3 linked regions of the Neurospora crassa OR74A genome follow. The protein of the gene in region 2 binds, or shares a complex with, the protein of the main gene of each other region. Links are inferred from orthologs where the notes say so. Each region holds a gene or a part of one and is shown on either strand. Other genes may lie near its edges.

Region 1 (10,872 bases), on a different chromosome or scaffold from region 2:
TAAGTGATGTGACTGTCCTGTCCTGTTCCTACCGTAAAGTGTATGACTCACTCTCCCTCCAACACATTGTCGTAGTTCTCGACGCAACCGAACTCATCACCAAAACCCACCTGCACTACGTCCGCTTCAGCAAAGCCTTCTCCAACGCCGCCCTCCACTGGATCCTGCGTCCCGAAGAAAAGCGAGAAGTCTTCTTCCAGGGCGTCCGCGACGTGCTTGCCCCGGGGGGCGTCTTTGCCTTTGAGATGGGCGGACTAGGCAACGTGTCGGAGATCCGGGCCACGCTACTGGCCGCTGTCGGCAGGAGAGTCGGTTTGAAGCGGGCACAGGAGGTGGACCCCTGGTTTTTCCCCGACGAGGAGTGGGTGAGGCAGATGATGGAGGAGAAAGTAGGAGGATGGAAGGTGGAAAAGGTAGAGAGAGAATGGAGGCCTACAAATTCCGATGTGGGTGGCGTGGAGGGATGGGTGAGATTGATGGCTGCTCAGTTTTTGCAGGCACTGGAGAGCGAGGAGGAGAGGGAGGAGGTGGTCAAGGAGGTGGTGGATGTGCTGGAGGTTGTATGCGCTAAGCCGGGGGGAGGGTACATGTATAGTTATGTAAGGTTGAGGGTGCTTGCTAGGAAGTTGTGAGGTCAGATTTTAGGGCTATTTGGATGTTAGGGTCAGATCTAAAGACGTGTTGAAGCTTCTTTTGTGAGATGTTGATTTGGTGATAGGTCTAGGCTAGACGGATAGGTCATCAAATTTCTCATTCTTAAAAGCGTTATAAAAGCGTGTGCTTTTCAGCGTGTCACAGGAATGACGTTGGTGGTGGAGAGTCCCCTCGCCGGGGTAAAGGCTGGGGTACCTTGTTAGCTCAGGGCGCATCACCTATGCAGTAGCTCGGCTTGATAAGGTGCGCAAGGGTTGGATAGAAGCGATAAAAGAAAGCTTCTCCCCATCATCATTCCTATTGAGGCACTGTCAAGTCCGGCGCAATTCATATACTGCGACACTCGACTCTGCCAACTTACCAATCCGCGCCTCCTTGTTCACTGAGCTTGTCGACCATCACACTGTCGCCACCTCACAGGACTTGAGCAAACGCATAATTGAAACAACATGTCTGCGGACGACCAGGCTTTTCTGGACGTGGTAAGAAAACATACAAAGTGCCCGCATAGAACTCCACTAACAATGGCCTGGTTCGGTTATAGTTATCGTCCCTGCCCGGCGATATCAAGCGCTACTCTGAAGATGTCGCCAACATCGTGAACGAGAACGTCGACAAGATTGCCGAGACCGTCAGACACACTCTCGCGACCTCGCAATGGGTACCAGAACAGATCCGCCCTCGGCTGCCGCCACCAGCGCCTTCAGCCGAGCTGCCGATTTCGCTCTACAATAGAGTTGAGAGCTGGGTATTAAGAAACAAAGTCCTTACCACCGCCATAGTCCTAGCCACCGGATCCATTCTATATCGGTCATACACAGTCTCGGCTCACGCCAGGAAGACCAGGCGCGCAAGGCGGGCGCGCAGCGGAGGACGCATGGATGTCGTTGTCATTGCGGGATCTGCCAACCTACCTTTGACACGATCAGTTGCGCTGGATCTGGAAAGGAAAGGCTTCATCGTCTTTATTGTATCCAGCGGACCGGAGGATGATATTGCCATTCAGAATCTAGCACGCCCCGATATCCGACCGTTGGGCGTCGACACCACCGATCCTCTCAGCGCCAGCGCCTCCATTGAGCGTTTCGCGACCTACCTTCAGTCACCCCATGCGGCAGTCCCCAACAGCAAGCGACATCGGTTGCACCTCAAGGCCGTCATCCTCATTCCCTCTTTGAACTACCAGACCTCGCCCATCGCTACCATTCCTCCCTCAGGCTTCGCGAACCTCTTCAACACACACCTACTCCACCCTATCATAACCCTCCAGGCCTTCCTTCCTCTGCTTACCGCTCGCCTGGGTCCTACTCCCTCGGCCGAGTCATCATCCTCTGGAAGCGACAAGAAGAAAGACAGCCCCAAAATCATCGTCTGCACGCCCTCCATCATTTCCTCCATCAACCCCCCCTTCCACGCCCCCGAAGCAACCGTGTGCTCCGCCCTCTCCGCATTCACCGAAGTCCTGACCGCCGAGCTCCGCCCGCTCGCCATCCCTGTCACCCACATCCAGCTCGGTACCTTTGACTTCGCTGGCTTCACGCCCGCCTCGGCCGCGCGTGAACACTGGCAGGAGCGGAACTCTCAGGGCGTCCCGCTGCGCGCGCTGGAAGCGAACCCCCAGGACGCCGAGTCCCTGCTGCCCTGGCCCGACTCGGCCCGCCACGCCTACGGCAAGAATTTTGTCACCCAGTCGAGCTCGGCCATTAGCACGGGCCGCATCCGCGGGATGCGCGGCAGCTCGTTGCGGGAGCTGCATAATGCTGTTTTTGACGTGATTGACGGGTCCATTACCAAGGGCACTGTGCGCGTCGGCCTCGGCGCGAGCGTGTATGGGTTTGTCGGACGCTGGGTGCCGCGCGGGCTGGTGGCGTGGATGATGGGTATCCGGACGGTGGACGAGCTGGCGGCGTGGCAGTCGAGTCATAGCTCGTTTAATAGCCCAAGGTCGGGTGGCTCGGTGAGGTCTATGGGAAGCGAGAATGGGGATGAGGAGGAGGTGGGGACTGGGGCCCGCACATCGAATGAGTTGTTTGTTGCGGTGCCGATGGAGTAAAGTCTTCATGGGAATAGTTTGGAAGAGTACAAAAGAAGGCAGTGTCGACAAGAATGGCATATGCCATAGCATCTCAGACGGTGGGTTGATTATCATTTGGTTACGGGTGTCCTAGGTAGGGAGCGGCGTTCATGTTTTGGGATCTCGTCCCTCTCAGTCTATTTTGGAAGAACATACAGATCACAGCTCCTCAAAACTGTCAAGCTAGCAATTTTTATAAGAATCTCACAAACCCTGTGAATGTAAACCTGACCTACAGCTAATACACTAGATATAACCTTGCCTTTGCGCCGTGACCTATTCCTTATTCCGTGATGCATACCTGGTCTTTACTACCGGATTCCTGGGCCTTCTCATCGTCCGAGCACTAGCCTAAATATGTCGCTATGTTCATGTACCATTTGACCTCCCCTGGCCGCTTTGGGACCAATGTTCTCTTAATGACCTTTACCCCTAAATCCTCCCCTTCCTCTTCCCCTCCATCCTCCTCGGCCTCTGCCTCCTCCTCCTCCTCCTCCTCCGCCTCCAAAGCGATCCTTATGGCGATCATGCCCGCCACCGTCCCTATCGCGTCCCTGCATCATCATCTCCCTCTCCCTGTTATCCCGATCGCGCTCCCTCTCTCGGTCCATATACTCATTCGCGCCCGTCGCCTGCGCCATTCCACCACCCATACCATTAGCATCGCCCATGTGTTGTTGTTGTTGCTGCTGCTGTTGCTGCTGCAGCAGCATCTGATCTCCCTCCCCCTTCGCCCTCGGCTTCTCCATATCCTTATCCGCCGTCCACCTCGGATGCGCGCCCTCCTTGCAGCCCTTCCCATCCGGACAGAAGCCCGCCAGGTAATACAAACACAGCTTCCTCCGGAAATGCTTCTTGTCACATCGCGGTCCCAGCGGACAGAACCCCCTCTCGTAATGCGGGCACGGCGGCAATCTCGACAGCGGATCAATGTGCAGATACAGACACTCGTCCCCGTTGCTGCAGTACCCGTTCCTGACGAAGAAATTGCACTCGGGCATCTTGCGCAGGTTGTACTCGTGCAGGAACTCGCACGATTCGCCCTTTTTGCAGAGGCCGCGCAGCCAATGCTTGCAGACTAGCGAGCCGAAGCCGCCGCTGAAGGTGTTACCGCCGCCATGGGTGTTTTGGGACGACGCGGTAACGTGGCGCTCGGGGCAGTGGGATTTGAGGGGGCAGTTGCCTGAGGCGTAGGCTTTGCAGATGGGTCGGTCGGCGGGGAGAGAGTGCTGGTACGTGCGCTGGAGGAAGGGCGTGAAGGAGAAGGTATAGTGTGGCGCGGTGTGGTTGAGCATCTGAGTGACGAGTTGTTGCGGTCCTCCTGCCCCAGAGGGGAGGGAGTTTGTTGTTGTCTGTGTTGTTGTCGCCATCTCGGCGGATGTGTGAGGGGGGGAAAAAGGTGGTTCGCCGGTGCGATTCGGGCTTCAAGGTGGGTAGGCTTGTTTTGTCGCGAGCGGTTCACGATCGGTTCGGAGAGGTATGTAGCTGGGCGACCAGTCGTAATGAATCTTGCCTAGAGAATGCGCGTGGCTTGTGTTTATGCACGCTTAACCAAGAGTCGTATTCTTTGCTGCGTTTGCCCAGTTTCAAATTCGGCTTTGGTCGGGAGAAGTTCGCACAGCAGGTTGCGCCATTCAAAAAATTGAAGCAAGGTGTGGTTGAGAGTTTGGAGAGAAAGAGTGCAACAAGTCGCAAATCGATTGTTGGAAATCGATAAGACGTGGACTCACCGAGAGATGCAAGGTGAGTGACCAATCAGAGATCAGCTATCCCGGTCTGGGCTACCTCGGCTTCCCTTACACTGGGCTAGCGGTCACCCCCGCGATGGCTATTCGGCATTTGTTCAACCATATTGTACCCTTGTTTAATCATATAGGTTGTCATTCTTTCACTGCTTGTGTATCTCACTCGGTGTTTCTGCGTCTGCTTCTTTCCAGTGTAACAAAGCACTCTATTACTCCAGGTATCCTTCCCAGATGAGAGGCATTCAGGTGGCACAGTATGTTAAGGTATGTCCTATCTCGATCATCCAGGACATCTTCCCATTTCGTGGTTCTAACATTAGCCCTTAACTCAGAGCCCGCAAGAGCTCAGGGTCACGGAGCTTCCAGACCCTACACCTACTTCAGATGAGTACTTGATTGAAGTTCATGCTGCGGCAACCAACTTTTTCGACATTCTTCAGATTCAGGGCAAATACCAGAATCAACCACGTGCGGCTTCTTTATTGAGTCCCGCTTACATTGCATTCAGTATGCTGACGTTGCGTCTTAGCATTCCCCTGGGTATCAGGTGCCGAGTTCGCCGGCGTGGTTCTCGCCACCCCTTCCGGCCTCAAGGACCCCAAGTTCCCCGTCGGTTCACGTGTGTTTGGAGCTAGCCAGGGTGCGTACGCTACCAAAGTCAAAGCCAAGGAGACGGCCCTCCTCCCAGCTCCCGAAGGCTGGTCGCTTGTGGATGCTGCCGGCCTCTTTGTGACGGCACCAACCAGCTATGGAGCCCTTGTTGTTCGGGCCGGCGTCAAGAAGGGCGACTTCGTCCTTGTTCACGCTGCGGCCGGTGGTGTAGGTCTTGCCGCAGTCCAAGGTTAGTGGCATACATACCCGTCTCGAAGATGAACTACTTCGTTGCTAATCCCACACATAGTTGCAAAGGCGTTTGGAGCAACTGTCATTGCTACGGCCGGAACCAAGCACAAGCTCGAAGTCGCCAAGTCCTTTGGCGCTGATCATGTCGTCGACTACACGGACCCCAAGTGGCCCGAGATGGTGAAGAAGTTGACCCCTAAAGGCAAGGGTGTTGACATTGTCTACGATCCTGTCGGCCTGGTAGATCTGAGCACCAAATGTACTGCGTGGAATGGCCGCATCCTGATTGTCGGTTTCGCTGCCGGCAAGATCGAGAAGGTGGCCATGAACAAGGTTCTTCTCAAGAACATCAGCCTCGTCGGTGTTCACTGGGGCCAATACGCTGTCCATGAGAAGGAGACGGTGGTGACCGTGTGGCAGGGCATCATGAAGTTGATTGCCGAAGGCAAGTTCAAACCGACTGTGTTCAGCGACAAGGAGTTCGTCGGTCTCGAAAAAATTCCGGATGCATTGATCGCTTTGGGGGGTCGTGAGACCTGGGGGAAGGTGGTAGTTCAGGTCCCGCAGCAGGAAGGGAAAAGCAGGTTGTAAATTTTATGGATAGCTTCACTAGGTTCCGGTGCCGTGTCGAGTGTCGTTGACCACAAAATCTCCGTCGGCATCTGATGGAAATTGAAATACCTTCACCGATAACCCTAACCCACATTGTGACCTTTGTTTTTTGCTTTGGGCCTCGGCTGCAACCCGCGGACTGGCTGCCTCGGTGACTGCATAGAGCTGCAACCGAGGAGCCTCTAAAAGGCGGAACGACCCCGCTGGATGCAGTGGGTATTTAAGTGGGAATTTTGGTGAGCACGTCAGAGGGGCATGGCCCTGGACCCTGGGCGGTCCGTTAGGGACGTTTCCTCGAATGGACGGCGTCCATCCTTCCGAGTTCGCCCCCAAGCATGGAAATCCAGGCCGTTTTTTGAGGCAGCCGGGGTCTAGATACGGGATTAGAAATCGCGACTCGATTTGAAAAATGGCGCCGGAACAACGCGCCTGATCTGGCATCGCCTGGACTGTCTGACAAGATCGCAGATTGGGAGAGAAAGAAATCTAGAGATTATCAAATCGTTACCTTCCCTTTCCCGTAGATTCTTATTCTCCATCCAGTGACCATCCCCGGCTCTGTTTCCGCCACTTGTATCTTGTCTCTTGTTAGATCCGTTTCCCATTCGAAAACCCCACCAACCGCCAAACTGTTCTCCTCAACCTTTAGAAGAACTCTCCGATCCAGCGCATCTGGTCTCACAGTCGCTGCTGCCGCAACCGCCTTCAAGAAAAACACTCCGGTTCAACCTGCCGAACTTCAGGCCGTCACAAAAAGAAACATGCACAGCAAAGTAGTCATCATCGGCTCTGGGCCGGCCGCCCACACTGCCGCCATCTACCTGGCCCGCGCCGAGCTGAAGCGTGAGTTTCAATGCCATTGCGATTGTCGACGTCAGGTTACAAGGACCAATTCGCTAACAATTCCTCGCCCTTTGTACAGCTGTACTCTACGAGGGCTTCATGGCCAATGGTATCGCCGCCGGTGGCCAGCTCACCACCACGACCGAGATCGAGAACTTTCCCGGTTTCCCCGATGGCATCATGGGCCAGGAGCTGATGGACAAGATGAAGGCTCAGTCTGAGCGTTTCGGCACCCAAATTATCAGCGAGACCGTTGCCAAGGTCGACCTCTCTGCGCGCCCCTTCAAGTACGCTACCGAGTGGTCCCCCGAGGAGTACCACACTGCCGACTCCATCATCCTGGCCACCGGCGCCTCTGCCCGCAGACTTCATCTCCCCGGAGAGGAGAAGTACTGGCAGAACGGTATCTCTGCCTGCGCCGTTTGCGATGGTGCCGTTCCTATTTTCCGCAACAAGCACCTCGTTGTCATTGGTGGTGGCGACTCCGCTGCTGAGGAGGCCATGTACCTCACCAAGTATGGCAGCCACGTTACCGTGTTGGTTCGCAAGGACAAGTTGAGGGCCAGCAGCATCATGGCCCATAGGTTGTTGAACCACGAGAAGGTCACTGTCAGGTTCAACACCGTCGGTGTCGAGGTCAAGGGTGACGACAAGGGTCTCATGAGCCACCTGGTCGTCAAGGATGTTACCACTGGCAAGGAGGAGACTCTTGAGGCCAACGGTCTTTTCTATGCCATCGGTCACGATCCTGCTACCGCCCTCGTCAAGGGCCAGCTTGAGACTGACGCCGATGGCTATGTTGTCACCAAGCCTGGCACTACCCTTACCAGCGTTGAGGGTGTCTTTGCTGCTGGTGATGTTCAGGATAAGAGGTACAGACAGGCTATCACCAGTGCCGGTACGTAACCCATTGCCTCCCGTGAACCTGGTTTGGAAGAGTTGCTAATCTGTTATGCATAGGTACCGGCTGCATGGCTGCCCTCGATGCCGAGAAGTTTTTGTCGGAGCACGAGGAAACCCCCGCCGAACACCGCGACACCAGCGCCGTACAGGGCAACCTCTAGAGTTGATTTCTTGGATAGACAGCGTTTCGCTTAAAAAGTTGGTTCTGAAAATACAGGAATGATACCCAGAGTATGGCCGGCAATTTTGAATGCTTGAAATTTTAGATGTGCCATGGAATATAAGAGAGATGTCGGTTTTTGCCGCACCCGGGCAGTTCGTATATGTAGTGTTTATACCAAAACACCAGCGAACAAGGATTGGTCTCGTTGGCCTTGTGGAGCTATGACCCCCTACCCACGGAAGCACTTAAAAGTTAACAGCCTTAACGAGGAAGTCACGGATCATAATGTGATTCTCTTACATCAAATTGTCACACGAAGGAGGAACAGCCGTCAAGCTCAAGAGACTTCTATCGATCCTAACATTAACTCGTGTACTCGTCAGGTCTACAAATCGACGGTCTGACTAGCGCCCCGGGCTATGTGGATGGGATAAAAATTTAGCGTTGAAAGCCATGCGGGCCTCCCGCGCAAGTGTGGGTTAGGTACAGAAGAAAATGGTTATCTGTTTGACTGGCATCACCTTTCTTCAGTCGTATCGCAATGCGAACAACCTACTAGTTATTCAAGTGTTTGTTGGAACAGGCAGGAAGCTGTTCTGGGATCATCGCAGAAATGTCAGGTGCTTCCCCTCACTTGGCGTAGAGGTCTGATCTCTATTTAAAGAGGGCTTCTTCCCTCTGTTCTGCTCCCTCTTCTTCCTCTTGTTCTCCATCGCGAACACCAATTTCTCAATTGACCTTAACCGGCAGACGCTGCAGAAAAACCAGCCATAACTCGATCTTCCCCTTCTTCCAACTTGATCAATAATCACATCCTCCTTAAAATGTCTAGCGGAAACGGATACAGCTACAAGGGCCATGGCACCAACAGCCAGGTATGGTGTAGATACTCTTTCACTGTCGCTCACGTCTCCTTCATTCCGCCGGATTGGCCAATCTCCAGCCCAGTATAGAGGCAACTAGCAACGCTGAGACACTAACTTGCTGTAGGGTAACCACTACTGCGCCCGTGACTACGGCAACGGATCCAATGCGTATCACTACTCCAACACGTAAGAAAGACCTTGACTATCTCTCTGGGGAAGTGGAGCGACTAATCATTTGGCCAACAACTTGACAGTAATGGATCCTACTACTACAGCAACCCGAACGGTAGCACTTACTACAACAGCGGCAGTGGATCTTCCACGTACACCTCGCCCAGTGGTAACTCGTACTCGAGCTCCGGCTCTGGTTCTGGCTCTGGCTCCGGCTCTTCTGGAAATTCCAAGTGAGATGTGAGGGGAAATGCCTAAGAGGTGATGGTTTGGAAGCCAGGGAAGATACCCCGGTGGATGTTCGCTAGGCAAGGTGGAAATTAAAGAGGGTTGACAGGACCATGGCAGTTTTGAGAGCCAATTTCGTTGCACGAAAGAGACGCATAGCATTTGACTTATTGGTATGAACCCAAATGGAAACCCTATTTCACTATTCTGCTTATCTCGATGCTACCAAGCTTGTGATCGTCCATCCAAATTGTTCTTCCAAGTGACGCTTCAACATCCCGTAGGCTCAATCCTCTTTCACGTCTCTTGCCAACCAAACAGCTTCGATTCATCCATTCTGCCCGGTTCTAGTTCCATAGCGAAGCACTCAATCCCATAACCGCAGAAGCAGCTATCATCGCTGCTCTGCCCAGATTCAACACACCCCATTGATCAACCCAATACTTTGCCCCGACTTCCACAGCCTTCATATCCACCTTTTCGCCCAAGCCAACCGCATCGTCACCTTCCCTATAAGAATATTCCTCCTCTACGTCTCTTTCCCTTTCCTTCTCTCTTTCTTTACCCTTCCCCTTACCATCTTTACCACAACCCTCCCTCCCCTTCTCCCTCTCCATACCCTTTCCCCTGACCGACTGCCTCCTCTTCAGCCCCCCACTACTCCCACCACCGCCCAACTCCCCAACCTCCACATCCACTCCCTTCTGCCTCATAGCCCTCTCCACCGCCTCCGCCCTCGCCACCAACCTCCTCTCCACCCCTCCGAGCACCACCCACCCATACGGCGCCATACCCAACACCAACAGCGCTCCAGCGACAGCGTACATTCTCCCCCTCTTCACCAACTTCAACGCTTGCATCCCTCTCCCACCACTCACGATTTCCGAAGAATACCGAACACCAAAACGCCAGGCCAGCAAGAGATAGCCCAACGCCGCGGCGGCGCCGGCCCGGTTCAAAGTGGAAAACGTCTGCTCGTAGGTGCGCCGCCACTGGGTGAGCATGAGCGGGGTGGGCGACTCGAGAAGGCGAGGCACCAGAAAGAAGGAGAGGGAGAGGGAGGCGCCCGTGGCGGAGGCGGAGAGGAGCACGGAGAGGGATTGGACCACGTGTATGAGGGAGCCGGTTTGCGGGTTTAGGAGGGCGGAGAGAAGTGCTACGAGTGAGGAGGGGGCGAGGATGCCGGGATTGATGAGACCGGCGGGGACGGGGCCGGAAGGGGTCGGTGGTGGTGAGATCGAGAGGAAAGACATGGCGGGCTGGTTGGTTGGTTGGTTGATTGATACCCGCGGGTTATTGTTTTCAGAATGGTTGGCCGAGGGTATGACGAGACTCTCTTGTTATAGAGCTTGTGGTTCGCGAAATGCTCGGGTCGCTTGAATCTAGGTACAGGTATTTATGTAGCAGGTGGTGGATGTTATGCGTGAACCGACTCGGTGGTGTAATTCGAGGTGGATCTGCTCGAGATAGACGTGGCTTTAGGATTGACAATGAGGTTTCCAACGCGACAATGATAGTCCTTGGTACCTCACCCCGGTTTATCGTCGCCAGAACGGTTGCGGATCAAGTTTGGGTTGTCGTTGGTGTTGTAGTTGTTTGCGGAGAGCAAACATGGTATGGGGTATGGTGATGCCAAGCCAGGTGCTGGGAAGCTTGATGTTAGCGCCCTGACCCCTGTGTCCCGTTGGTCGACTCCAGCGAGAAATGATCATCGCTGCTATCGAAGCGAAGCAAAAGTGCGGGGTGCGGGGTGCGCACTTTCTACACTAC
Region 2 (11,071 bases):
TAATTTTCGACAGGGGGGCTAGTTCACATGGAGGTCTTCACTCCTCAGGCTTTTCTACTGGAAGCTGTGCGAGAATGAGCACTGCAACATTGGCAATACCCACTGCAAGGACCTCTCGGCGAGGACCTTTCTGTCGTTTCATAGTACACTACGTCGCTCGGCCGAGGATCCGACTTACACGCAAATGCGCTCCCGCGGCGAGGGCCAAACAACCCCAGTTGAACAAACATGTGCCAAGGGTTCTTGGCCGGTTTGTCTGTCAGAACGCTGCAGCAATCCCGGTACCTTGACTGCTTGGAAGGCCAGCTCAGAATGGTTCAACCAGGTACGTAGGACGGAGTTCGAACTAGTTGTAGGTCACTGACCTCACGGTATCTTTGAAAGAGATATAAGTCGGCCGGCCCGCCTCCGGACTGATGAATTCAGATTTCCTCTTTCTACCTACTTACTCATCAAATATCAAGATCAAGCACTATCATCAAGCTTCAAGCAAGCAAAGTGAACCATCTTTCCTTTGTTCTATTAGCTACGTTATCTGAGCACCAGGCGTGCCATAACTGTCTACCCCGGCGGGCACTCTTACCAACCAACGACACTAAGATCTACTCGTGTAGAAGCTCTTCTCATCGTCCTTGGCATCAAAAGTCAAGCATTATATACCACTATCCAACATCATCACCAACTTTCAGCAACAACATCTAGTCATGAAGCGCTCTTCTTCTAGCGCCTCTGCTCCGTCGGCATTCAACATCAGCACCACCGGGCCCGTCACAAGCCCTATTACCTCGCCCATGTCTCTTGATAGCGTAAGCCGTGCTCCCTTCCGAGTGTCTCATCTTTCCGGTACTAACACAACTCAACAGTACCACGAAATGAGGTACTCTTTCGAGTCTGAGACAACAGTGGCTCCCGTCAACAGCAGAAAGGATTCGGGGAACATCACAAACTCTGCGGACCCATCAAGGCCACTACGGACAACCAAGTCTCACAACAAGCACGTCAACGCACACAGCTACTGCGGACGACATTCGACTGAGTTCCTGTTTGGAGGCCGCTCCATTAGGAACCTCTTGAGCAACCTTAGGCATCGAAGGGACTCGCGCGAGTGATCATCCATCGCTCATGCTTCTAGAAATGGATCAAAGTAGGTGAAAGAACTCACCTGGGCCATGGGTTCGTCCGTCTGCACTGGCTGGAACAGGTTGCATTGGGGGGGACTTTATAACCAGCTCATCTCGAACAAGGGAGATTGGAGGCTTTGGGAGGAAGCACTGAAGGATATATTTCATTTACGCTTAACGATGACATGACAACCGTTTTTGTTGTATGTAATAACCCCATGTTGTTTTATTGTCTTTTTCCTTTCCGTGGGATATGATACCAAGGCGTTTTGGGGCCTAGGGAGAAAGATTTGGAGTTGAGCAATTGTATTTTGTATATTGGAGTGGTCAATACCAGTTTTGAGCTATGCTTGGGTTCAAAGGACGATTCAACGACGTTGGACTTCGGCAGCATAACTATGGACTGAAAATAAGACGAGTATCAAAAAGATTCGTCATGGCCGGTTAACACGGCAGAATGTGTACTGCGCCCAGCCCTGGGCGGTAACAATCGACGTCCGTTCTCTGCCGAGAATGATGGACGCCGAGACGTGAGCGGCGAATTGTTCAAAATGGAGGCAATGACCCTAGGTTCAACTCAATACCGTGTATTCCCTTTATTCAAGTTACCTTTCTCGCGTTGAATTTCTTTCACATGTGAATGCTCACAACCCACCGGTGACATCGGCGTTCTAAACACCAGGCCGCCGAAAGATAGTGGGTCCCGCGGAGTCAAGTACCTTACCCCACAGGAAAGGAACCGACCCCTGTCCCGACGCGCGAATCCACCTGCCGCGGTCTCGGTTCGGGTCGAAAATTGTTGTCCCCGCGTTCATTCGGAGCAGTCTCGTCCCGTCTTGTTGGGGAATCCATTATCACCTACTTACCTTGTCCGTCAATCACGTTCATAGCATCAAATCATTACCTACCTTAACATCCGTCGACATCTTCCCACGTCCGCCGAACTGATCACCGAAACAACATCGACACCACACCACACACCAAACAACACCAACAATGGCTGGCTCAGCTCTCCGCAAGGGCTACCTAGTCCTTTACAATGCCGCCTCGGCCGTCGCCTGGGCCACGATCCTCGGCCGCGTCGCGTCCGTCTACTTTGCCAAGGGCGCGCCCTTTGTACCGCTGGTCGTCGATGACTTTGCTCGTGTTACGCAGACCTTTGCTGTCATGGAGATCTTCCATGCTCTTACCGGTATGCCTTGCTTGCCCGACGCTTGCCCCCACCCGGATCCCGTCTCAGTCTCCATCTCTCATCCTTGTCCCTATCTCTGTCCCCTCCTCTACCTTTTCTCTCTACTACCTGTTTAGGGAAACAAACGCTAATCGATGTTTAACACACACACAAAAAAAAACAGGCATCGTCCCCGCCCCAATTTTCACCACCGTCATGCAAGTCGCCTCGCGCCTGATGCTCGTCTGGGGTATCTCGTACCCCTTCCCGCACCTCAACAGTTCGGCCTGGTACACCTCCATGTTGACGGCCTGGTCCACCACCGAGGTGATCCGGTACAGCTACTTTGCGCTCAAGCAGGTCGACTTCATTCCTTACTGGCTGCACTGGCTGCGGTATAGCGCCTTCCTGGTGCTGTACCCAATGGGCATCAGCTCCGAGGTGGCCATGATCTTCAAGGCGCTCGTGGGTCCGGCCGATCAGCTCGCGACTTGGTACCCTTATGCGCTGGTTGCTGTGCTGTTGTCGTATATCCCTGGCTCGGTGGTGCTGTATAGCCACATGTTGAGCCAGAGGAGGAAGCAGGTTGGTGGTGGTGCTATCAAGGAGAAAAAGGAGAAGAAGAGGCAGTGAGGGGTTACAGAGTTTTAGACTACCTAGGCTGTGGTTGTTGTAAAGAGGAGGGGTTTGGCTTGGGCTGGACTGGCGTGCGACGTATGCTCACAGCCTACCCGCCCCTGCTGTTGAAATGTCGTGGTCACGGTAAATGATTTTTACAAGCCACTTGGACTGTGGATTCTGCGGCCGAGCTAATCGGGGGAATATACATAATACTTTCAAAGAGTTTCCGTGATTTAAAGATAATGATAGACGGATTATGATGGGAAAAAAACGAAATGACTTGGGCTATTAGATGGAAGGTTACGGTTATTAGGGTGCGCTTCTATGCGCGAATGACATCACCGTTACTGCTTTCATACCAGTCGTTCCGCAACCACTTAACAATCATATCTCTAGCATCATGCGCCATCTTGGTATAGCCAGGGTTGTCCTTCAGGTCGAACATGGCTATGAATAGTGTCAGTACTCGCTTCACGTATGTATAAAGACCTCGCTCCAACAGATTGGGAGGGGTGCACTTACAGATATGTGCCGTTACTTCGTCCTTAGCCTTATCGTTGATGGCCTCCCTCCAGTCCCCAGCGGGATCCTTTTTAGGCAGGACGCAAAATGTCCGTTCATTGCCCATCACAGTCCCGACCATGCTCACTTCCTTTGACCCCGCGGCCCGTCCCAACCGGGTATAAAAGTTTCCGAAACCGACCCCAAGGTCATTGTTGAGCCGCACCATGTACGCCACACGGCGCCGCAGCTCTTCTCTTCTATAAAGCACCCCGACAAACTCGAGATGCGACGTCGCCCAGCTCACGCTTTGCGTAATCTGATCTCGATTGTAGTACGCCGCCGCTCCTCCAGCCGCTGCAGCAGCCGCTGCGCCCGCGACCATGGCGATCTTGCCCCAGTTCCCCCAGGGGCTGCCATTATTCCTCTGCTGCTCCTCCTTCTTTTCCGGCGCCGGCAGAGCGGCCATCTGTCTTTTCTGCGTTGTTGCGTTCGATTGCACCTGCGCCCCCTTCGCTCCGAGTAAACTTGTCAAGCTGCTCAGTTGCGACAGCGCCGCCGAAGCCGTCGCATAGTGACCCTCGACGCCATGAGCGAAGACGGCAGGAGCGATGCCTAGATAGGGTGTATCGAAGCCGAGGACGCCCTGGATATAGGGAAACATGAGCGAGCTGGGGCTGGGTGGTCGATGGAGAGGCGCGGAGTCGGCGGTGCGATGGTCCAGCTTCGGGTCCTCGACGGCCGGGTCGGTGCTGCCGTGGATAGGCTTGTCGGAGGAGAGCTCGATGGCGGTTTCGGCGGCGACGATGCCGCCCATGGAGTGGCCGACTAGAACGACGCGGACCGAGGGATCTATGGTGGGCGATGAGGTTCCGGCGGCAACTTCGAGGTCGATGACTTTATTCATGAGCCTGTGATAGCGAGGGCGACCCATGTTAGGGATGGTTCGGGGCTTCAAGCATGTGACAGATGAAGGAACGGATGCGGTCGATGAGCACATACCAATCTCGAAATCGCGCTACGCACTCGCCCAAGTCCCCTCGAGTCTCATATTTGGGATATACCACGACGTTGACGTTTATCTTGGGTAGGTCGGCCGCGACAAGTTGGCGGAGGTGCTCGGTGAAGGCATAGTTGTCGCCAAAGGTCGACTCACCTCCCTTTGCATGACAATGTCAGTTTGATCTTGGCTGGCGCGTCGCTTAATCTCATTGTACATACCTTGAAGCCGTGGATGAAGCAGAGAAGTAATGTCTTTTTCATCCTTCCCCATTGAGACTAAGCAAAGTGGAAGTGGTGCAAAATGGATGTAGTGTAGGGGAGGCCGAGAGAATCCAGATGCGACACCCATGTAAACTTTCAACGTTGCCCCGGCTGTTACGGTGATCCTCCATCTAGCGGCAGCGTCATGTGCAGGGGCCTGCAGGGCCAGTGTGGGGGCGGGGCCGCGCTATGGAAGGGACCTCCCAGGGGAACTCCAGTGGATGATGCATGGACACCTGGTCCGGTCTTGCCCTTGCTTGCCGCTTGGGGCCAGATCCCATCTTCCACAGGGGCCGCGGCAGCTTTGAAATGTCATCTGTTCTCCAAATCCATACTTCTACTCTATCGTCATTTGACCTTCACTCCGATGGTACGTACCTAGCATTAGACCAAAGTTGAATTGGTACTTACAGCCGATATAATAGAATACGTCCCTGAATATTAGACCGATGTTTACTGCAAAAATGGAACTGATTCTGCCAACTCACCTGTCCCCATGGCGTTACTCGAATGTACTGTAAGATGCCCAGAAGTGGACAGACGGACATCCTACGCCTACCTACCTAGGTACTTGAAGGAACAGGTCGGGTTGTCTGGGGAAGACCTTCTTCTACCTGAAATGCGGCAGTCCAGCGGCCTTTGCAATGTGACGATTGAGCTTTTCAGAGCTTGACTCCCTGAATTGTCGGAACCAAGACACCAAAACCTAAGCCAACATGATACCCGTCTTATTATGGTGGGGGTACCAAAGTACTTGAATTTCAGTGGAGATTAGGTATCCCCGTGCGGGTCCCAGGATACTCGTCAGAGGTTTACGGGTGATTCCTGCAGGTTGCATTTCAAGTTGCAGTGTCCAGCGTCTCTGAAATAACAGGACATTGCTTCGCGCCAATCATGCTGCCAGACTTGTGGTGAGTGGGAGTCCGTGCTCAACACCCAGGCTGAACCGAGACGCGCCGAGTCGGCGACGTGCTTTTTGTCTTCTGCGACAACCTACCTAACGCAGCCCCTTCATCCATCCCCATCGATCACCCTGTCTGGTTTCGGCTTCTCCGACTGCCCCAGGGTCGATATCAGAATCAATCAGCTATCCGGTATCACCATCTTTCGAATCAACAAAAAGCACAGCATATCATGACCTGAGCGTTCTTTGCCTTACGTGGAGCTGCTTGGTTCCTTCTGTTCAATCCCATCATAGACTTCTATTTTCGCCCGTCAGCGTTCTCTCACTGCGCCTGCGCTCCTCTCTTTTGCGCGCGCGATCCAGTTTTCCTCTTGTCGCGACCAGCGTCATCGATCAGTCCTGCACGACATATTTCGTCTTCGATACTCTTAGCGGCGCATCCAGCACGCTTCCTCGTCCCACCGCGCTTCGTGCCACCATGTCGAACCCCGAACAAACCTTGGGCGTAACGCCTCCTATCTCGACCACGCTACCTACCGACGCCGAGAAACGACAGACCGAGGCCCTTCTCAAAGAGCTGCGCGCGCAGGGCACCTTCGAAAGTCAGGCCGAAACTGATAAGCGATGGGCGGTGCTCGCAGATCTCCAGCGCATTACTGATGAATTCGTGAAGAGGGCCGCGCAGGAAAAGGAGCCGCACAATGCCATTTTGATTCGCGACGCTCGAGGCAGAATATTCACATATGGCAGTTTTCGCTTGGGTGTGTATGGGCCAGGATCCGATATCGATACCCTCGTCGTTGTACCCAAGTACGTCACCGTCAAGCAATACTTCGACATCTTTCCCAACCTTCTTGTCGAAATGGCTCCCCCTGGCGCCATCACCGACCTGACTCCAGTACCCGAGGCCTTCGTTCCTATCATCAAGTTCGAGTATTCGGGCATCAGCATAGATCTTATCTTCTGTTCAATCCAGAGCCTTCGTCAACTTCCTGACGACAAGGACTGGAATTTGAACAGTAACAACCTCCTGCGCGGCTTGTCCGAAAACGAGGTGCGCTCGCTCAACGGAACACGCGTAACCGACGAGATCCTTGCGCTGGTTCCCGAAGAGAAGACGTTCAAGCTGGCACTTCGTGCAATCAAGCTCTGGGCTCAGAGAAGGGCTATCTACGCCAATATCATGGGTTATCCTGGTGGTGTGGCTTGGGCTATGCTGGTCGCCAGAGTATGCCAACTCTATCCGAAGGCGACGAGTGCTGTCATCGTCAGGAAATTCTTCACTATTATGCTCAACTGGCCATGGCCGCTCCCGGTTCTTCTGAAGAATATCGAATACAACCAGTCCATTACGCGTGTAGCGGTGTGGAATCCCAAGGTAAGTCAACCCCTCATCATTGTCGCGCTGATGTCTCACCACAGACTAGATATACCCGAGTGATCGCAATCACAAGATGCCCATCATCACCCCATCATACCCTTCCATGTGCGCGACACACAATGTTGGAAGGTCTTCAATGGCGGTCATTCAACAGGAGCTGGAACGGGGGGTGCAGATTTCCGAAGAGATCATGTTGGGTAAAAGGCCTTGGAAAGATTTGTTCGAGAAACACACCTTTTTCACCAACGGCTTCAAGTTTTACCTGACGGTCATCTCATCCGGCAGGACCAAAGAGGCGCAGAATACCTGGTCGGGCTTCGTCGAGTCAAGAGTGCGTGTTCTGGTCCAGAAGCTTGAGCTGCACCCTTCCATCGCCCTTGCCCGCCCCTTCAACAAAGGTTACGACAGAGTGCACCGATGCAAGACGGATGCTCAGGTCGAAGAGATTCAAACCGGAAATCTCACATACATGGTCAAGCCGACGGATATAGCCGCGAATGGGAGCGCCAAGAACGACAGCAAGGTTGAGGTCAAGGCGGAGATCAAGACGGAGGATGGTGTTGCACGGGAGCCGACTGTGCCGGCTGTCAAGGAAGAACCGAACGACGTGGTACATCTAGGAACGGTACCTCTAAAGCCTGAGGACAACTCTGTAAAGCCTGAGGCCAACGACTACGACGAAGACAAGGTTAAGCTGGAGGATATACCGGAGAAGGAGCCGGAGCTTGAGATTTACACCACTAACCATTACATCGGCCTGCAGCTGGTAGAGGGAGCTAAGTCTCTGGATCTGTCCAGAGAAGTCGACGACTTCAAGGCAATGTGCACCTCGAACGACATCTTCAAAGCAGAGTTGATGGGATTGACTATCCAGCACGTTAGGAATTTCGATCTCCCCGACGACGTTTTCGAGCCTGGAGAGACGAAGCCTGTTAGGCCAGTCAAGAAGAAGAAGCGTATGGCCGAAGGGGAACATGCGAACGGCCCGATGGCCAAGCGACAACAGATGGCGACCGCGCCACCGACCATTAAGAGCGAACACTGATCGAAGGATGTACAGACAGATTTTGTTGGCGGTCACGGACAAATTAGTTGCTATGTGCGAGCAGTACCACGCGCGAGGTGTAGAGAAATGTATCTAAGATAGAGTTGCTAAATCTGCTAGACTAATAAATTTAGTTTTTCGGGGCACAAGTGCCCCATCAACTAAGCCAAGTTTCCATCTCGCAGTGGTCTTTGCGTCCGTGACTTTTCATCTCACTTCTTGCTCTATTATACATCATCTTAACAAATTCTTTGCTGCGTCGATTGCTTCTGCTAATGAATTGAGCTGTTAGTTCCGTTGTACTCGGGGGAAAACGCCATATGCGCCTCAGTATGTCAACGTCAAAATGCCAGCAGCCAATCAAAGCTTGCACGTTCGCCCCCGTAGATCGTCGGTCGCATGTCCTACAAATAGATACACAGTAACACCTGTCTCGAGATCCTCAACCCAACATCTCACTGAGGATTCTATCTTGTCTCAAGTACTTTGGCCGTGTAAACCCGCTCGAAGTACCTCGGGTATCACCCTCGAGGACCCCAAAAGCCACTTGCTTCTTCCATCCGCTATGCCGCGATGATGCACCAGGAATTAAAACCTGGGCGCTCGCCGCTCTTCTCTGCGCCAGTTCCTCGGAGTCTTCCTCATCTTCCCTCACCGACAGTGGCAGCGGCATCCACGCCCTCATCCTCACCACGGCGCTTCAAGCGCTTTCGCGGCCTACTACCCACAACCTCCTACCGCGCGATCCTCAGCTCCGTATGCATCATGGCCGTCCTCTTCTGGGTCCTTCACCTCCTCTTCTTCTCCCTCCTTACAGACCTCACCACTGGCAACCCATTAACAACCTCTCCTTCCCCATCACAACCTGGAGAAGAAGAAGACTCCTTCTCCTCAGTAGCCGACCTGGCCCTCCAAAAGATTCTCGGTGACGGCCGCCAAATCTTCGGCACCTTCCCTTCCTCCTTCAACAAGTCCGCAGCCTCCAAGCGTCGCGCACAATGGATGACCCCTCTCCCGGACTCCCTGCCGCTCACCCGCCTCAGAGCCATTCCGGGAACCCACGACAGCGCAACCTGGAACTTTACTACTGAGACGAGGAACTCGATCCCTTCTAATCCGAGCTACTTGCCGGCTGAATGGTTTAGGTGTCAGAAGAAGAGTATTTTGGAATCGTTGGAGGCGGGGGTGCGGTTCTTTGATTTGCGGTATGCTGCGTTGGATACAGGTACGGGTGGGAGTGGGAAAGGGGGAGGAGGACAAGGGACGAGACTGGTGTTTTGGCATAAGATGGCTTTGTTGAGTGAGGTGGCGACGGTGGAGGATGTTTTGTTTGGGTTTTATAGTTGGTTGGAGGGGAGGGGAGCGGGGGAGGTGGTGATGGTTAGTTTGCAGTATGAGGTGAGTTTCTTCTCTTTACTTTTCATTTTATTTCTTTCCTTTCTTTCTTTCGTTTACACATTTTCATGCCCTGGTTTTGGGTTTCATCTGGGGTGGGTATAACTGGTTTGGGTTATATGTAAACAAAAGGGGTCATCATCACCGTCCATTAAGTTACCGCCTCTCCCGCTCCCTTCGCTAACAGACTAACAGCACCCAACCCGCTCCCACGCCTCCAACACCCCACAAGTCCAACGCCTCCTTCATTCCCTCCTTACAACCCCGGCCGCCCGCCGCTTCATCTACCCGTCACACTCCCTCCCGCCCACTTTGGGAGACGCCCGTGGCAAGATCGTCCTCCTCAAACGCTTCGACCTGCCCGACTTGCCTCTCGATCAACAGCTGGCTGTACCGGGACTCAACTTTTCTCCTAGCCTATGGCCGGAGAACAATAGAGGCTTTGAGTTGGTTTATAACCAACTTGACTTGGGTGTGGTAGAGGGGGAAAAGAGGAATGAGACGGCGTATATAGAGGACTACTTTGAACCTAACGACCTGCCGAGTGGGATGAATGGAAGTGTAACGGAGAATGTGATGGCTAAGTGGGAGGCTGTGGAGGGCCATTTACGGGCTGCGAGCGGTCCCGGGGCAGGACTGGGTGCACGCGGGGAGGATGATGAGGATGATGGGTTGTGGATCACGTTCACCTCGGGGGAACATGTATTGAATGAACCGAACATTACGCCGGAGGTTATGGCGCTTGGTCCGGAAGAACAACGGCAAGGTGTCCCCAAGGTGACTGGCGGTGGAACGGTGAAAGGAGGAGTTAACGAAAAGTTGTTGGCGTTGCTGAGGGATGATGGGCCGGACGGGTTAAAGGGGAAGAGGTTGGGAGTTGTGGTGATGGATTTCTGGGAGATGGAAGGGGAGGGGGATTTGATTGGGGCGTTGTTGGGTTTGGATGGTTAGATACCCAGGTAGTGAAATGTCTGGTGTAAAGGCGGAAGGACCTCGGGGAGTAATCGTCTTGTCTGCTTCACGCTTGAACACGTTGTTGATTGCTGCGTCGACCGATCAATCGTCATCTCCATCATCACTTCCACTCGACCACCCCTCATGATATTCATCAGCCATCTCCGCCAGCTCGTTTCCAAGCTGTTCCCTATCCTCCAATCCAATCGACCGACCAACCGTAGTCCTCAACGACTTCAGCCTCTTATGCACTGAAGCATCCGTAGACAGACTGCTAGTGACATTGATCGCTCCTCCTCTCTTCAGTGGCTCACCACTGTCATCCCTGAAGATCTGAGGGAAGCTGTCTAGAAGAGGGAAGCGAAGGGGTGTGTGATAACTGCATGAGAGGGACTTTGTTAGCAAAAGATGACGAGAAAAAAAAAAGTAAAAAGGAAAAAAAAAAAAGAAAAGAAAAAAACACAGAAAACGTACCTTTTCATAACAGTCTCGTACGAGCTCCTCCTGCGGAACCTCTCGTCCTCCTCAGCCTCCTTGGCTTCCTGCACCTGCTCATCAATCTCATAACCTCTCGAGGTAAGCATCTGGCTGAACACCCTCGGTCTGTCATCATCGCCGCCACCACGGCGACGGACATAGTCCAACTGATCGGTGGGAGTAAAGTTAATATCGAGAAACACTCCCTCCGGGTTCTCCTTCACCATCACAGCCGCAT
Region 3 (10,596 bases), on a different chromosome or scaffold from region 2:
CCGTTCTACATCGCTCCCTGATAAAGTATGCTCATGTCAGTAGCCTGAGTCTCCCTATCGTCCATTACATGGGGATTATTCGATCATTATCACCGCTCCCTCTCCAGCCTTATACTCCCTTCGCTTTAAATGACTGAGCCCGCTTTCAGCCTCAGTTTTCAGCAGGACATTGCGTCGTGTCGCATATAGCAATCATCATCACCACCACCCCTGCACATTCCACCTTCATCACCTGTCCGCTTCCGCTGCCGCTTCCCCTGTCTTTTGTGGCTTGAGATCCATCGCGACCTCCGGCTCAGCCTCTTCGCTGATACTCTGGTTTTCTATTGCAGCTTCTTTCGCTGTCTTTTCCAGCCTCGCGCCAAGCAAGGTCTGCAACGTCCCTTGCTCACTACCCCTCCTCTCGTTTCTGCCGACAGTGTCCTGACTGCCGCGGCGCATCAAACCGGCATCATGAAATAAGTTCGTGGGCGTGTTCGCTTGACTGCCACCCCGTTGTCCATGATAGTGGACGACCTGCGGTGGAGCTTGGCCAGCCTGTGTTCCCAAAAGGTGTTGCGGATAGGGATCGAGGTCCTTGCTTGACGTTGAGAAGGTTGATACGACCGGCTGATGGTACTTGTAATCGGACCCAGAGTGGCTGTGTCCATACCCATTGGTATTGGAGCTTGAGATTGGTGTCGAGTGGGTATTGTTGCTGTTGCTGCTGTTATTATTATTGTTGTTGTTGCTGCTGTTGTTATTGTTGTTGCCATTCACACCAGACCCGCCACCACTGTTGGAGCTTAGGCTTTGTGTGGGAGTGTGGCCAAAAGATCCGCCAGAGGTAGCAGCAGTGTGTTCCGCCTGAGTCGGTGTTCCAGCTTCCACCGGGCTAACAGGGCTTTCGCTAAGCTGGCCGGTGAGGCTGTTCATACCTCCTTCGATATCGCGTAGCAGCCGCACATATTCCTCTGGTACAAGTCCGCTCTCTTGCGTTTTCGGGTCTTCCGCAACCAACCAGCCCTGTCCGTGTCGATACGACACCCAGATGATTTGACCCTCAACCAAAGGCAACTCGTTCTCGTCTTCCCGCTGGAAGTCGTACAGCGCCACGGCCTTACCGTGCATCTCCTCATCGGGAGAGGTAATTGTAAACTGGTAATCACGCGAATAACGCGATTCGTCCGTCTCGTGATAGCCACCAGGGCTGGAGTCGTCCAAGTCGGATGGGTAATCGTCTTCGTACTGGCGTGGCTGTTGGTCGGCAACTTGGTATGCGCTGTGGCGTGCCTGATCGGCCGGATACGTCACGTACTCGCCGCCCGGCCCGTTAGCCTCGCCTCCCTGGTTCACGTAGTAGCGCTCGCTGCCATCCCCACTGGTGCCAACGTAGTAACCCCTCTCCCGGTCGTAGTTGCTCGGGTTCATGACCGAACCACCGCCGCTCCTTCCCGCACCATAGCCACTGCCGCCACTGCCGCCAGCTGACTTGTTCTTCTTGTGTCGCGAACTGACCACAGGGCTCTGAAGATCTTCATCCTCGCTCCACGGAGGACCATCGGCGAACTGCATCGCGGGGAGATCGTTCGCCCGTCCCCAGCCGTCGCTGCTCCATGAGTTCTCCCAGCTGTGGCGATCCCAAGATGTCGGAGGGTCAGATAGGCGCCGTTGCTCGCTGGCTGGGGTAGTCATGCCTGAGGGTGGCCGCGAAGGTTCCGGTGGGGGTCCATAGTGCATAGGATGACCCACGGGGTAGGCGAAGTCTCGCACCAGCGTGTACGGCAGACTGGATGGATAGATGGGGAACAGTTGAGAGGGCGGCCGGGAGCGTGAGGGAATCGAGCTCACAGTCGAGTACTGCGACAGGCGGTTCTTGGACGCGTGCGACATTGGCCGCGGTAGCGCGCTCCTGCGAGCGGGCGGCGAGGTCATGAGCGGAGGAAGTGGGGGATGAGCGGCTGAGGTCGAGGCCGAGGTGTCGATGGCGGGCGGAGAGGTCGCTGGAGACGAGGCTGGCGATATGATCGCCGTCATGGTCGAGGCAAAGGAAAAAAGATAGGGGGTTAGCAAAGCCTATAGCCTAGCAGTGCCTGGCGTGCCTGGAATGCGCCGCCCGGACAATCAATTGTTGTTGTGGATCCTTTCCAGGGCGCCGGACCGTCGCTGCCGTGGGAACCAGGGTGTTTTTTTGGCCAGGGTTCAAGTCTGGTTAGAAGACCGAGTACCTCTAGGCAGCGAAGGGAAGGGCTGACCAGCCTGTGGTGGACGGGCGGAAATGCTTTGCCTTGTGCTGTCGAGGCGGGGAATACGTGTGGTTTTTGAGGTCCGTCCGTGTATCGTAGATTCGTAGGGCTAGGGAGACGGTAAACTTATAGCGCCCAATTGTGTAGATGAGGCATGTAGCTGTGTGGACCACGGACATCGATTTGCAAATGTTTGATGCTTGCAAAGCGGCCACAACTACCAACGGCTTGTTCAACGGTTCGCTTGTCCGTCGTCTGAAGTCTCGGAAATGTAAGGGCTCTGGATTCTGAGTGTTTCGGTTTTAGGCCGAATTCGTTAAGGGATCCCGTGTGAGGGACGCAATGTAGAAAAGATAGTGGTGAAAGTGTGCGAAGGGGCACACTGGGGTAGCAAGGTGGGCAATTGTCAGCTTAAAGAGCTTGTATAGACATGGAGAGGCCTTGTGTGGTCGGCAAGCTGAGATGAGCGATTGCGAGCTGTCAATATAGACAGGGTATGGTGGGAACGGAGGGGGATTCGAAGAAAAGAGGAGAAGAAAAAGAGGCAGAATCTCAGGCAGGAACAGGTAGGTAGATTTGGGGGGGGGGGTGCCGCATCAAGTTACTACCTCTACTTACGACGGGATACCTCTAGTACAACTTGGACAAAGTTAAGCGCGCTGCCGCAGGTTTACTCCAGGTTTAGGCCTGCTCCTCTCATTGGCAAATAGCAACCGCTGGTCACCTGCAATCAATCAGTCGAACCTCTGAGGACGGGACTCGGTCGCCTTGGACCAACATACCTAACCTCTTTGCTTATCCTGTTAGTGTCGACCTAGACGATGGCTGGCAAATTTTTGGGTAACGAATCGGGGTTAGGTATGGGGGGCTCAAAAAGTCCACTTCAGAGGACAGCTCTCGTTGACAAAGGCGGGCAACTTGCAGGACACACTGCAGTTTCTGTGTGTCAACCACGGAGATTAAAACTTGAATTTGATTTTACGCCCAAAATACCTCTACGTTCTAACACATATCGAAACAGGATATACCACGCGGGTAATACTGCCATTTGCAAATGTACTTTCTACGTGTGCCTCTATTGTTGGTTAACATGTTCCAACGAAGAAAAACTTCGCACGAAACTCTCAACTTCCCGTCCCAACAGGGATGTTTATCACTGCATGTTTGTGTCCACCATTGGATGTTCTCGATGCCTTCGATGTGGGTGATTGGCTCCGTGAATGCGTCCCGAACAGCAACGTGGTACCCATGGAATTTCCCAAGGCACTAGCTATGAGTTGCGCATTCCCTGTGTGGGACCTTTTAAGAAAAGTTATTGAAAAGGTAAGTTCCAATGTTCTGTGCACGATATTCTACAGTGCATCGATACGCATGGTGACCGAGGCTCGAGGCCCGTGAGGTTTGGGTCCTGGGAGAAAAAAAAAATACCTGGGGATCGTCTCACTGTGATTCTGCAGTGCATATCCGCGGACCGCTGCAGACTCGAGAGGTGGGGGAAGTTGACGAGAACGGAAAGAAGGGCAACGGGCTGCAAGACGCACGAGCCACCCACCATTTCACTCTGAAACACTGAAACGTTCTAATTTTGGAAAGCGGTCAGATGGGGCACTATGTGCGTATGACCACCACTTGTCCCTCGCAGTCGGTAACCAAACAGATTTGTTCCAAATTCCACATCCCACTTTTCACCGTCCAAAATCTCCGCGCCAGCAGCAACTGGTGAACAGGTTTGGACATCAACGACATTTAACAAGTTATATATGTGTGGTAGCAGGCTACCTCGACTAACTTAATCATCATCTGTCTGCGCTTTGCGCTCAGCTGAAGCTTGAAAGGTAATTCCTGCGCTCTTTTCCGCTCTCCCTTTATCAACCGTCTCTTTCCTTTATGATGATCTTTTTATTGGAGCTGTCTGTAGCCTGCTATGTCTGGCGTTTGATGACAAACTTTTACATACGCTTTTTTTATCTGATGTGTACCGAGGACAACCTACACTTTTGCACTTGCCATGTCTGTATCGCAGAAGGGAACGCATTGATAACTAACATTGGCATCTTGCGCTTTCTAGGTCTTTCCAGTCAAGCATGCCACATCTGCCACAGTAACAAGTTACCTGCAACTGCCGGCTATGTCTGCTGTAGATACCCCAACTGGTGCCGCGAGCTCATCGAAGCCGGACCAGAATGAGCAGAATGGTCAAAACGGTGGGCGTGAAGACTCTGGCGGCTTCAAGCTAAAGTTTTGCACCGTCTGCGCCAGTAACCAGAATCGGTGAGCAATTTTACGCATCGCATCGTCACGCAACTGGATGACCCCGTCTAACCCTCACCAGCTCCATGGAAGGTCACTTGCGACTCTCTCTTGCAAATTATCCCGTGATTTCGTTTGGTACAGGCTCTCTTGTCCGTCTCCCCGGGCCGTCCATTACACAGCCCAATGTCTACAAGTTCAACGAAACATCATACGATAGTATATATCGGGAGTTGGAAGCCAAAGACCCTCGCTTATATCGCGCAAATGGACTGCTAAACATGCTTGGGAGAAACCGCCAAGTCAAGTGGGGCCCTGAGCGATGGCAGGACTGGCAGATTGGAATGCCTAGAACCAAGCACAAGGATGACAAGGGAGCTGATGGCATGGAGGGCGGCGTAGCTGATGTTGTCATCACCTGTGAGGAACGCTGTTGGGATGCTGTGATTGAAGATCTTCTCAACCGTGGCTCGCCACTTAACAGGCCTGTTCACGTCATCAACATCGATATCAAGGATAACCATGAAGAGGCATCCGTGGGAGGGCGAGCCATTGTCGATTTGGCAGACTCACTCAACAAGATTGCTGCCGAGGAGCGGGAGAAGGTTGGCGCTTCTGCCTTTGACTCGGGAAGCGTAGGCGCCAGATCAGGATTCGATGAGCGCGTACCGGACGTCCTGGCCGAGTGGCAGGAGAGATGGCCGAATCTTCCTGCGACATGGACTTTGGCTTGGTTCTAAGCATTGAATTGGCGTATTGTTTGAGCTCGTGCATCGTAAGGCGTTGGATGTTCTTTTTATTGCCTGGCGGGCGTAATCGCGGTTACGGACAGGGTGGGGGGTACATCTTTTTGGGTTCATGATTGATGACCAAACAACACAGACGAACAAGACGTTTTGGCCGTCACAACATAATGCTGATTTGGACTCGTAATCTCTATCAACAAGCCGTTGTTATCCGGGATTTATGAATTCTGCTGCTGCCATGATTGGCTTCAACTTGCTATTTTGTGAGGTCGCACCCCTCCTGGTTTTCTCAGAATATGTCGACCTCCGTGATTTGGCAGGCCATTTCCTCTTCCACCAGCCAGACCGCCAATTAAGCATTTTGTTTGTTACGCATATGCTTACTTCTATCACAAACATAATAATATCGCATGCATACATGCTCGGAGATGGGAGCTCATCGGCCCACCTGACGAGTACCCTGCATGGTATCCCAAAAAGCATTTTAAGATGACGAGCCGCACGGTTCATTATACGCAACATTGGATGCAAAGAAAACATAGCAGAATTTTGGAGATCTTCCTTGCTTATTGGGATCTGGGGTACTCAACGGTTGCCAGCATCTAGAAAATATCGAAACATGCACAACCGGGCAACCGGCCGTGCCCCCGCAGTGAGCAGGCCTACTTGTGACAATGCAACTAAACGCGCGAAGGTCAAAAATGAAATACATGGGGCTGTGGTGGCCATTGGACACACACTTGGAAGACGAAGACCATTAAGGTTACTGCTAATGCATGTTGTCACTACCTATCATGTTGGGGTGTTGGGCGGGAGTGCCCGAGGTCGAGGTGGCATTTGATGTGATGCGGGTATGCCTACATACCCATGTGGATAAATCTCAATATCTATATCGTCGGTCTCAAGTAAGAATTGCATTGTATTTCGGCAGACGATTGCCGGTCTTGGGCTGTTTCACAACGAGACGTTTTAGTGGAATGATAAACCACTGCAGCGGCGCAGAGTCGATCACCGTTGACTAACATGAGAGACCTGCCATAGTAGAAATGCGAAGGGGGCTTGAAGTTGGCGATCCCGTCAGAGATGAAGACGCATTCTGAGGCCAGGATACCATGTGAGAAAGGGGCTCGAAAGAGGAAGTTGTCGGGGTGTCTCACAAGACTATTTAAATTGCTCCCATGGGGAAAAGGGAACAACAGCTGCTCGGTCGCCTACTAAGTGCCAGGCCGAGATTGATATCAGGCTTTTGTTCCCACTTCCCACTGTACGTCGACGGCCGGGGCTAGGGCCCAGGAAGCCCGACATCGAGATGCGAATATGAGGGGATTCGAGGCCGACAAGGAATGGATCTGGGTCCAGTTCCCTCTCCATTTAGACCATGGTGGCTCGGTTCCTTTGTCCCAGTCCCGGTCCCGGTCCTTTCGGAATCCCCTCTAATAGCTGCGTACATATGTGGTTGTTATGGTTTTGGTAGGGCAGTGCTTCTTATCCAACAATGCCCGGCACTTTGCTTCTTTGTGCGACCGCATATATAATCTCAAACCTCAGTGTTGTACATAGAAGAAGTCTAACGACAGTCCGTGGTAATGTGGAAAGTGGTGGAGTGCTGACCGTCCATCGTGTTCACTGCCGTCAGACACCGATGAGCCAACTCCTATCGTCCCCGTAACGACATGACGTCCCGAGATGTGCAAGATACCACTCCTTACCTATCGTTGGTGTTTGACTTTGGTTCTGGAAATGACTCTCCGCGCTCTCCCACCCCACACTAGTTGTAATTACGTAGAGGCATGCACTGGCAGCCCAAGCACCTTTGTGGAAGCTAAGGTAATTGCGCCGGCTTCCATTGTCTGTGGGAATCCGTACCTGCCGTAGCGCGCGACTAATAGGAAGGGAACTCACCCCTGACGCCGGCAGTGATGGGTCAAGTATACCAGGGATTGGTTCTGATTGGCTGAACGGTCACACCATTTCCAGTGTGGTCAGAGCCCCCGGGCGCTCTCACTCAAACCATTCACTGTGCCTCCTACTGTTCCTCGGAGAACATCGTCCACTGTACATATTGGGGCCTTGAATGATCAGGGGCTCTGCTGGATTCGATCCTGGATAAGTCGTGGTGGGCTCTTCGTGGGTTCCTCATTTCCAACTGAATCCATTGCGCGCCCGGAACACAGTAGAGGAGCCGTTCTCCCAAGAATCGTGGTCACCTCGCTACCCGGCATCGTGAGGAACTGGCCAGCGAAAGGTGAAAAGAGAATGAGCACCGTATGGCGAGCGAGCAACAATCCCGTCCTGGTCTCTCGTTTTCTCCCGTCCTGCCACTGCACCAATTCCGCCATCAACCGTCTGGATCTGGACGCCATCTACCTACATACCCTACCCGGCGCTACGTCCCTTCGCCTGTCTTAGAGCTGCTCTGATTTGAGTGGCACTAACAAGCAAAGACGCCGTCCACTCGCTCGCTGTCCACACTTTCGGTACACCCCCCCGCCAAGCCGAACGTTAACCTTGAGGGCTACCTCTATTACCACCCAAAAGATCGCCACGATCCATCATCCAAAGAAGGGGCATCTGAAAACACCGCTACGAGTCAAGCCGTCGACCAGTCCATTCTTTCTGAGGCGAAACCTCTCCCATCATTCCAACTCCTGGCTTTCGATCGGCAACTGGAACAGCCACTCTGTTTGGCGACATCGCGCAGGGCATCGCATAAGTGTAGTGTACCACCCCCCCTGTTCATGATCCCGCTCCCTTTGTCCCCCTTCCCTTTCGCGCCTCCAAAAGGGGAATTCAAAGGTTGACCGATATGCGTTTCATGCTCCCACAGTAACACAAAGTCCTGCCACGAGGAACACCCGCGAGACCCTTCTGCTGTCGAGGGCGCACAGCATATGCTCGATTTGTCTCAACACCAGCTCTGCGACAGTCCGCGTCTTTTGGGAGCCTGTACCTCTACTTGCTGAGACCGCGAAGTATCCACGAACCGGCTACCTTCGCCTTTACTAGGGACACACACGGGTTGACGACAAGACAATTGCATCAAGCCTCCATTGTCATTTGCGCACCACGTCCATCTTTCCTATTGCGTCCGACTGGTCGATTGGAAGCGGGCGGTGAACGAATACCATGAATGTTCGCAATGCACCATTGTCACCAATCTCTCAAGGCGCCCCAAGCGACTGGAACCATCCACCGAACGACAACAATCTCGGACAATACAATACTCCTCCCGACTCCGCGAACCCTGCCGGCGCTATGAACGGCGGCTTCTCCCCGATGCCTCAGAGCCCGAATGGGGCACCCTCTCCTCCACCGTCCGTTGGCCGATCCAGCACCGGCATGTATGCGAGGAGTGTAAAGAGCCAGAGTCAACAAGGGGAAAACCAGGAGTTGGTTCTGTCCGACCACTACATCTCGCTCAAGCGCTATCTGTCAGCCACCTCACGCGACGGCAATCCGAAACCGCCGCCGAACAAGGCCCGCGACAAGCTGCAACGCCTTACTGAGGTGCAGTTTCTTGAGCTCAGTACCGATGTTTATGATGAATTGAAGCGCCGCGAACAGGTGGCCCGAAGAGGACCTAATGCTCCCCCCGAGACTGCCCCGCCCGATTTTCTTCTGCCTCAGGATAATTTCCATCCTAAACGGAACCAGGCTCGCCAGAAACTGTCGTCCCTAGGTCCTCCTAGGTTTCGCGATCTCGCCACCGATGTCTTCTGCGAGTTGGAGAGGCGGTATCCTAACTTCGCCAATCTGGAGATGCCTCTCAATGCCAGCCCGATTGCGATGCGTGGCCCGCCAAGCCGCTCGGGAACACCAAACAACGGAATGGGCGGCTTCCCTCCCAGAGGTCAAAGTCACAGACGCCCTTCGGAGGCGAGCTCAGTACGAAGTGCACGGAGCGGTCCTCCGATGCCCCCTATGATGAATGGTGGCTACGGCGTTCCCCCATCTCCTGGCCTGCCGCCGAATGGCGACTATGGGCGTCCCATGCCAAAACAATTCCAGAGCAACACAATCGTCCCAAACAAGAGTACCATGGTCGAGGAGGACGACGAGGGCAACCTTATGAGCCCAGGTCAGGGTGGTGATATGTATGGCAATGGCAGGAGGTCTATGGGCCAGGCGTTCGAGGTCAGTTTCGCCTTTTTTTTTTTTTTTTTTTTTTTTCGCCCTCGGGGATACTGTCATGTGCTAACTCAACGTAGGCCGACAGGAAGCTTATTCAGGACTACGAAAATCAGGTCAGAGAGCTGCAGGAAAAGGTCGACAACATGGAGATGGAGATGAGGAAGAAGGACGAGGAGCTGAATAACATGCAGTCCGGGGATGGCAACAAGAAAGATTGGGACGAGACCAGGCAAAGCTTGGAGACGAAACTGGCAGAGGCCCAGGAACTGAACGACTCGTTGCAAAGGGAACTCGACCGCATCAGGGAGGAGCATGAGGACGAGACGAGAAAGCTTCGGGAAGGACTCGAGGATGGTCGACAATCAGGCGGCAAAGGAGACGGCGATCTGGCGCGAGAGAACGAGGAACTGCGACAATCTTTGCAAGAACAGCAGCAAATAACGGACGAGGTCCGTCGCGAGGCCCAGGAGTTCTTGCGGGAGATGAGGACGTTGTCTCAACAAAGCGGGGCTGCTTGGGAGAGACAAACGGAGTTGGAGAGGACGATTGAGAGTTTGGAGAAGGAAGTCAAGGAATGGAGAAGTCGATATGCACGCACCCAAACACAGTTACGCAGCATGCGTGATTCGTCAGAGGGTGTACCACTCGAGCAGAACGCCGGCAAATACGTACGGGAAAAGGGTTTTGTCGAAGACTCTGGGCTTGTGAAGGACCTTCACGTTACCAAGTTCCAGATTGCGATAGACGAGCTCCTGCAGCGCGCTCGCAACGATAACCCCGAGCGCGTAATTGACTCTATGAAAGCAGTCGTAGTCAGTGTCCGTCGTATCGCTAAGGATATCGACGAGAATCCACAAAACGACAGCATTCTCCAAGAGAAGGCCAAGCTAAAGGCTCGGGTATCATCGACTGCCAACAACCTGATCACCGCATCCAAGAACTTTGCCAGCTCCGCGGGCATCTCTCCTGTATCTCTGCTTGATGCAGCTGCATCTCACTTGGTTGCAGCAGTCATCGAGCTGCTCCGCGCCGCCAAGATCCGCACCACGCCTGCCGGTGAATTGGAAGAGGAGGATGATGGGACAGTAACTCCCGTCGGCTCAGCCAGCTTCTTTTCTCCGCGCAACGGCCAAAGCCAGACCTCGAGTGTCGCCTCTGCCCACGAGGTACTAGCGCAACCTCCGGCTTTCCAAGGGCTAGGAGGAGGAGGAGGCAGCAGGATTAGTGTCGACTCGTCTGCCTAC

The links.
Region 1: un-17 (region 2) and NCU08353 share a complex: the UniProt entries of both Saccharomyces cerevisiae proteins name them as parts of the cleavage and polyadenylation factor (CPF) complex. The link is inferred for Neurospora crassa OR74A from reciprocal best matches to the Saccharomyces cerevisiae genes PAP1 and YTH1.
Region 3: un-17 (region 2) and NCU03114 share a complex: the UniProt entries of both Saccharomyces cerevisiae proteins name them as parts of the cleavage and polyadenylation factor (CPF) complex. The link is inferred for Neurospora crassa OR74A from reciprocal best matches to the Saccharomyces cerevisiae genes PAP1 and SSU72.

The regions. Positions count from the first base shown.
Region 1 is NC_026501.1:5,651,701-5,662,572, forward strand, and holds NCU08353 (mRNA 3'-end-processing protein yth-1), read right to left. Parts: upstream 4,419-10,872; 5' UTR 4,099-4,418; coding exon 3,145-4,098; 3' UTR 2,908-3,144; downstream 1-2,907. Other genes in the region: NCU08355 (hypothetical protein), read left to right, coding at 76-632; NCU08354 (hypothetical protein), read left to right, coding at 1,104-1,136, 1,199-2,707; NCU11325 (alcohol dehydrogenase), read left to right, coding at 4,705-4,737, 4,806-4,941, 5,003-5,314, 5,375-5,907; cys-9 (thioredoxin-disulfide reductase), read left to right, coding at 6,690-6,771, 6,851-7,669, 7,732-7,835; NCU08351 (hypothetical protein), read left to right, coding at 8,662-8,712, 8,828-8,889, 8,958-9,111; NCU08350 (hypothetical protein), read right to left, coding at 9,450-10,355. UniProt on the Saccharomyces cerevisiae protein: RNA-binding component of the cleavage and polyadenylation factor (CPF) complex, which plays a key role in polyadenylation-dependent pre-mRNA 3'-end formation and cooperates with cleavage factors including the CFIA complex and NAB4/CFIB.
Region 2 is NC_026503.1:4,128,290-4,139,360, reverse strand, and holds un-17 (Poly(A) polymerase), read left to right. Parts: upstream 1-5,499; 5' UTR 5,500-6,059; coding exon 6,060-6,959; intron 6,960-7,008; coding exon 7,009-8,007; 3' UTR 8,008-8,230; downstream 8,231-11,071. Other genes in the region: NCU08986 (hypothetical protein), read left to right, coding at 185-325, 615-806, 864-1,109; NCU08985 (protein tyrosine phosphatase), read left to right, coding at 2,118-2,313, 2,477-2,925; NCU08984 (hypothetical protein), read right to left, coding at 3,236-3,360, 3,436-4,325, 4,417-4,574, 4,636-4,677; NCU08982 (hypothetical protein), read left to right, coding at 8,581-9,405, 9,598-10,353; NCU08981 (dml-1), read right to left, coding at 10,459-10,735, 10,831-11,071. UniProt on the Saccharomyces cerevisiae protein: Polymerase component of the cleavage and polyadenylation factor (CPF) complex, which plays a key role in polyadenylation-dependent pre-mRNA 3'-end formation and cooperates with cleavage factors including the CFIA complex and NAB4/CFIB.
Region 3 is NC_026501.1:4,601,977-4,612,572, forward strand, and holds NCU03114 (SSU72), read left to right. Parts: upstream 1-3,895; 5' UTR 3,896-4,060; intron 4,061-4,293; 5' UTR 4,294-4,353; coding exon 4,354-4,496; intron 4,497-4,557; coding exon 4,558-5,215; 3' UTR 5,216-5,646; downstream 5,647-10,596. Other genes in the region: NCU03113 (SH3 domain-containing protein), read right to left, coding at 229-2,016; spa2 (spa2-like protein, variant), read left to right, coding at 8,348-9,355, 9,430-10,596. UniProt on the Saccharomyces cerevisiae protein: Component of the cleavage and polyadenylation factor (CPF) complex, which plays a key role in polyadenylation-dependent pre-mRNA 3'-end formation and cooperates with cleavage factors including the CFIA complex and NAB4/CFIB.